Kluyveromyces lactis: one gene and its partner. The protein of the gene in region 1 interacts with the protein of each later gene in a pairwise test. Links are inferred from orthologs where the notes say so. Each region holds a gene or a part of one and is shown in the gene's direction. Other genes may lie near its edges. The genes, in order: APL4 and APS1.

Region 1 (4,512 bases):
TATCTGTTGGTTCAATGTTGGTTGTGTTACCATTACCAGTCTCTTCAGTTAGCGATGATTGCACCGGGTTAGAAGAGGCAAATTCTGAATTTCCTGTCGCCAAGGATTCGTTTTCCCTATTCGCAAAAATTGTAGAATGGCTTCCTGTAGGAACAACGTCTGATCTTGAGAACTCAGAAGGATCCCTGGTAGCTAAACGTTCTAACGCATCACCAAATGCACCATCATCATCATCATCATTAAGTCTGCTCAAATGATTTAAGTATTCATCGTCAGTTGGCGAGATAGTAGGTAAAAATATGTTATCACCGGAAGTGGCAACGTGGAAGGTAACACCATTCTTCGAAGAAAGAAGTCTTGGTCTTAATAATCCACGGTCAGCCAAGTAATTTAGCAAACACGTTTTGGCAGTTTTTTTCCTGTTCACGACGGTGTTGCTGATCTGCGAACCAGTCGCACTGAAAGCGGTCGATACCCTTGTAATCCTCCTGCCCAAACAATTCTCCTCAAAGTCATCATCATCACCTTCATCATCTCCATCGTTTTCATTGTCTGGACCGTCATATTCATCATCATCTTCATCATCGCTTACCACAGAGAAAGGTCCACCACGTTCGTCATCATTAGACATTCTACGATTAGGCTGACTCTGAAATCTGCTCGGTTGTAAAGATGATGTGTAGATGTCATTGCCTAGGTCTCCATCAGAATCGTTGCCTCCAAGGCTATAATCCAACAGACTGCTATCTCCTTGATCCTCGTCAATTTCGTTATCAGTTCCTTCTTCCGAAGACATCGCTAATTCGTTCTGTGGGGCTCCGTAATCTTGATATCCATAGATAGAATACGGCGTTCCAAAGGCCATCATCGGACTGAATCCTGCAGGCATAGCAGAAGTGCCATATGCGCCACTGGGCCGTCTGGAAGATGCCCTACGAGCGCTATTAGAGCTTGGTACACTTGCGGAACGTCCATTACTGTTTGACCTTGAAAGGGTAGAACCACTACTTTTTGACCCGCTAGCTCCTAAGATGGATGCAAATGCTTGCTTGATTGACGAAGATCTTTTCCTATTCCCATCCTTCTGCTTTCCAGAGGACGACCCCAGATGTGAACTGAAAAATGACATTATCTTCCAACCGTCGTGGACCTGTAAAATCTCAGCTTATCTCTCAAAAGGGTTTGGTTACTTACCTTGGATGCAAAAAGAACCAAATGATCAATAAATAAATAACTTTAAAAGTGACCAAAGTGTGAAGTTCTTGTTTAGGAAAAACCACAATACTATATGTATTCGCTAACCCACTAAGCTGAATAGATTAGACTTTGCTCTCCCTGCTGAAACATCGGATTATATTTATGTTAATCATCAGCCTACTTAGTTGGTATGAACTATTTACATTTCAGATTTGAAGGGTTCTTTTTCATTAAAAACTTCCTTGGGCCCAGAAATCAGGTTTGGGGGCCATAAATAATTTCCATGATTTCGAAATCTGGAAAGGACAGTTCTATAAACAAGAATAGCTATAAATACATGTAACGTATACTGGGCTTGACAACTGAGAACAGCGTACACGGTATCTGTAACTTTTGCAATTAACGCTGGGAGTGTGCGTGCGTGTGGTGTTTTCAACTATAAGTTGTATATAGGTGCGCAAAGAGCTTTAGCAATTTTTTGTTTGTTGGGAAACATAAGTAGAAACAATGGGTTCATTGAGGACTTTCATTAAGGAAGTCAGGGCCGCGAAAACGTTGGCTGAAGAAAGGTCAATCGTTACCAAGGAATCAGCAAGGATCAGGACCAAGTTGAAGGATGATCATATTTCACTGGAAAGGAGAAGGAAGTACATTAACAAGCTGTTATATTTGTATATCTTGGGAGAAAAGACACATTTTGCCCAGGTAGAGTGTATAAACTTAATTGCTTCTGAAGACTTCGCCGATAAGAGAGTTGGATATCTTGCTGCAGTTTTGTTATTGGATGAGAATCAGGAATTGTTGACTCTTTTGACCAATCTTTTGAATAACGATTTGAATCATCCATCGAGATATGTGGTTTCGTTAGCAATCAACGCATTGGGCGCTTTGACTTCTCCAGAGTTGGCTCGTGATTTGTATACCGATATCAAAAATATTCTAGAGCATTCCAGGGACAGTTTTCTGATCAAAAAGGCGTTGGCATGCTCTGGAAAACTTATTGCGAGGGATCCATCCCTTTTGGAAATTTTCGCTCCTTACGCTAACAAGATGCTTTCGAGTAAAGAATCTACTAGCCATGGTGTTCTAATTGGTACCAACAAATTGATCCAGGCAATCATCATCAATACCAAATCGTACGAATTTGATAATCTACCAGAGATCATTGATAAACTATCCTCCTTGATACCTGATCTCTTAGGAAAACTACACCATTTGAATTTAGGATCGTCCAACCCAGAATATAACGTTGGCGGTTGTCTCGATCCATTTTTACAAGTCGAACTCATGACTACATTACGTTTGTTCTTGCAGTACTTCCCTGAGCAAACTAAGCCTTACAAGAATAACTACTTGGATACATTGACCCGAGTTGCAACTTACACTCCAACTACTTCGAATAGTTGTACTTCAGTCTTATACGAGGCAGTGCGCACTATTTTTTCATTCCAAGCAGAGCGCTCCTTGAGAGTACTAGGTGTCAACGTGTTGGGTAATCTAGTTGCAGACAAGGATTACAACACAAAATATGTTTCATTAAACGCATTGTTAGATGTTGTTTCGGTAGAGCCACAGGCGGTCCAAAGGCATAGAAAGTTTATCTCACGTTGTATCTTTGATTCTGATATTTCAATCAAAAAGAGGGCTCTTGAGATGACGTTCGCAATTTTAAACCAAACAAATATGAGGGAATTGATCGCAGAGATTCTTACGTTCTTAGAAAAAGCAGGAGAAAACGATAAAGGACTAATATTGTACTGTGTAGATCAACTTATAATGGTTTTCGATCTTCAAGATGAAATAGATGATTCCTGGAAACTGGATGTCATAGTTAAAATATTGAAATTTGTTGGCCAATATATTTCAGTTGAGAAGACTACTGATGCATTAATTATGATTAACAATAATTCGAACCTGGAACATAAGAAGCAAGTGGTTTCTAACATTATCAACGTAGCATTGGATAATGACTCTAGCCAAGTCTCAGACGAAAATTTAGCATGGAGAGTTGTCTCGATTTGGTGCATCGGTGAATACGCTGATCTGATTTTAGGTAATGGCAGATGCACAGAAACAAATTTAACAGGTTACTTATATGAATCCGATAGCTTGTACTGTGATAACCCTATGGTAACAAGCTATGTTTTGCTGGCTGCTTTGAAGCTATCTGTAAAGATTGATACAAAAGTGCTATCCAATAGATTGAGGCAGTTAATTAAAGGCCACACGGAAAACACCAACGTCATGATTCAAACAAAGGCTGTCCAGTATGGAATATTATTCAATGAGTCTACAAGTGTTAAAGCTGCGTTACTTGAACCAATGCCCATTTTCCATAAAAAGGTCTCAGAGACTGCTGCATTAAGAACCTTCTCTCAGAAAGTACCTGCACCAGCTATTAAGAAAGTGAAAAAGAAGGAAAATGATCTTCTTCTAGATTTACTAGGAGATCTCTCTACTCCAGAAACTACTGCGCCTACAAAACCTTCTAATGATCTATTATCTAACTTGAGCAATACTCCAGCACCCCAATCATCAAATCAAAATGGGTCAACTTTATCATCATCCTTCCAACAACGCATAGAAATACCACCAAACTCTATCAATATCCACTCATCTGATATTGTTGAAGTTTATGGTAAAGTAGAATCGTCAATCCCCGGTTGTACTGAAATAGACCTATTCTTGAAAGCTAAAACGAATATTAATACCTTACAGATCCTAATCGCTGTTCCTAAATCACAGAAGGCAGAATTCGGATCTCTGTCAAGCCACAAGGTAGCTACAGGTGAAGTAGCTAAGCAGGGTCTTAAAATTCTAGGATCTGGGAAAATCAAGCTAAGGGTCAAATTGAATATCAACTCCACCGAGGATCAATTCGATTATAAATTTGAAAACATCCCCCATTAACGAGCGTTAAAGATGCCTTAAAGTAATATTGTGTAAACTATAAAACGATATAACAATCACATCATGTAGATAAGGGATCTATGTCGATAAACACCGGTACGAGTTCACATTTCCGCAATCAAATAAGCGAACTCAAAAGAAAATTGGACCAGAGGGTGATTTTTCAACTAAGAAGAATTTAACGGGAGTATCCAGAAGCCTTAGCGTTGTTGGCAGCAGCTTCGACTTTCTGGGCCAGTTCTCCCGATTTCCCTTCCACGATAGGTAGGTATTTGTCAGAGAATGGTGAAATCAACCTCGTGTAAACAAGTTGGGCACCGCCGAATGATGGAATGGCAATGTACAGTAAGAAAACAGTCTTAAAGAACCAGTAGAATGGAACCCAGTACAAAATAGCCTTGGACC
Region 2 (2,434 bases), on another chromosome or scaffold:
AACGTATCGAATTGTTGAAAATTTTAATTAAAGTGGATCGAGATGACTAGCTCATCGCATGGTTGACAGGAGGGAATGGAGTAATTGCACTTAGCTTGGTCTCTGCTTCAAATTGTAACTGAGGAAGTTTTAAGTAACGAGGGTAGTTTTGGTAGCTATGTTGTACTTTATTGGATTAGGTCTTTCTTACGAAACAGATATCACCGTCAGAGGCTTGAATGCCATCAAGCAATGTTCGAGAGTGTACTTGGAGCACTACACTTCCATATTGATGACAGCTTCTCTAGAAGAACTAGAGGAATTTTATGGCAAGAAAGTTACACTAGCTGACAGGGAACTTGTCGAATCGGGAGCTGAAGAACTTCTCCGTGATGCCGATAAAGAAGATGTTGCGTTTTTGGTTGTCGGTGACGTTTTTGGAGCCACCACTCATACTGACTTGGTGTTGCGTGCCAAGCAAAGGAATATTCCAGTAGAAGTCATCCATAACGCGTCTGTTATGAATGCAGTAGGATCATGTGGGTTGCAACTATACAATTTTGGTCAAACGATCTCTATGGTCTTTTTCACCGATAGTTGGAGACCAGATTCCTGGTACGACAAGATATGGGAAAACCGGAAAATCGGGTTGCACACCTTGGTTCTTCTAGATATCAAAGTGAAGGAACAGAGTATAGAGAATATGGCTCGTGGAAGACTCATTTATGAGCCTCCAAGATACATGAGTATTGCACAATGTTGTGAACAACTATTGGAAATTGAAGAAACAAGAGGCACTGAGGCATATACTCCTGATACTCCCTGTGTAGCAATCTCAAGACTAGGTTCTGCAAGCCAAACCTTCAAAGCAGGTACCATCAAAGAGCTAGCCGAATATGATTCTGGTGAACCATTGCATTCTTTAGTTATACTCGGTAGGCAAACCCATGAATTGGAAATCGAGTATTTGCTCGAATTCTGTGACGATAGAGAAAAATTCAAGCAAGATGTCGCCAGTGATCAAGAATATTTCAAACCACCAGCATGGGTTCCACCTCCAGAAGATGAAGATTAGGCCAGGTCATGGATATGTAAATTATATATTGCATGTATCCTTTGTGTATCCGCTTCTTCAGCTTCATGCAAAGTCGTCTGCGGTGATTCTCATTTTTCGTTATATTAACTATTAATATAACATGAATGTAATAACGTAACTGAATCGAATGAATCAGCATGTAAGCAAAAGAAAACAAACAAAGAATAACAGGTCACTAGAATCAAAGTTTAAGTCTAATTCTGTCCCAGTTGATGTTTTAAAATTAAGGTTATTATTCAGCTCTACAACTTTTCAATTGGTGTATCCGAGAAACTACGGATAAACGATTAACAAGGGCATTAAATACCACAACCACCGAGCTTAAGAGACAAAAGCTATCCTATTCGTTATAAACAAAAAAGGTCATTGAAATGTCACAGATTAAGTACATGCTTCTCACGTCGAGGCAAGGCAAGACTAGGTTAATCAGATGGTATCAACCCTTCGATATAAAGTACAAGCATAAAATACTAAGGGAAGTGACGACTAACGTACTGTCCAGGAAGTCAAAAATGTGCAATATTCTAGAATATCAAGATCACAAAGTCGTGTACAAGAAATATGCCAGTTTATACTTCATTGCAGGGATTGATTTGGATTCGGACAACGAATTGTTGACTTTAGAAATTATACACAGATTTGTGGAAACTATGGATAGATATTTTGGGAACGTCTGCGAGTTAGATATCATATTCAATTTTAGCAAGGCATACAGCATATTGGATGAAATGATAATGTGTGACGGATCTATAATAGAAACTAGTAAAGATGAAGTTATACATGTTGTGGAGGCCATGGATGCAATTGAATCAAATGATGACCTTGATAGGGTATTGAGTTGAGAATGCATGCATTCAAGCAATTGACGTGATACTGACCGAGATGAATAGAAATTTAAATTAAATTGTGAATATGTACAATATATTATCCTTTCTTTCTTTATGTACGGAAACTCAACAATTCTACTTGTACAATAGTTTTACAAAATCTGCATCCCCCATCGCACCTACACCTTTCTCGTTATCAGTAGATTCGCCTTTTTCAACAGCCCTAATCTCATTGTACAAAACACCAAATACGTATGGGGTATCATCGTATTCATCCATTTCACTGGCCAACGCCCTGTACATTACGTTACTCTTACTGCATGGATGCTTTTCTTTGTACAAAAGAACGAAATTCTTGATGAACTCCTGCTTATCATCCTTCTTTAGTTCATTCCATTTTTTATAACATCTCATCGGCGTAGCATGAAAGTTTCTGTTCTGTATCAATGCAAATCTTCCTATGGCTTGTCTAGCTGCAAACATCTTTATTAGCGTCATTACTTTCTTTCTAGTTAAAACCCCTTCTATAGTT

What was found.
Region 2: the proteins of APL4 (region 1) and APS1 interact in binary tests that used the Saccharomyces cerevisiae proteins (3 or more experiments, as listed by UniProt). The link is inferred for Kluyveromyces lactis from reciprocal best matches to the Saccharomyces cerevisiae genes APL4 and APS1.

What each region holds. Positions count from the first base shown.
Region 1 is NC_006041.1:592,657-597,168, forward strand, and holds APL4 (AP-1 complex subunit gamma), read left to right. Parts: upstream 1-1,704; coding exon 1,705-4,107; downstream 4,108-4,512. Other genes in the region: ECM21 (Ecm21p), read right to left, coding at 1-1,129; YOP1 (Yop1p), read right to left, coding at 4,286-4,512. UniProt on the Saccharomyces cerevisiae protein: Adaptins are components of the adapter complexes which link clathrin to receptors in coated vesicles. Clathrin-associated protein complexes are believed to interact with the cytoplasmic tails of membrane proteins, leading to their selection and concentration.
Region 2 is NC_006042.1:2,118,749-2,121,182, reverse strand, and holds APS1 (Aps1p), read left to right. Parts: upstream 1-1,446; coding exon 1,447-1,917; downstream 1,918-2,434. Other genes in the region: DPH5 (diphthine synthase), read left to right, coding at 158-1,054; KLLA0_F22792g (uncharacterized protein), read right to left, coding at 2,038-2,400. UniProt on the Saccharomyces cerevisiae protein: Component of the adapter complexes which link clathrin to receptors in coated vesicles. Clathrin-associated protein complexes are believed to interact with the cytoplasmic tails of membrane proteins, leading to their selection and concentration.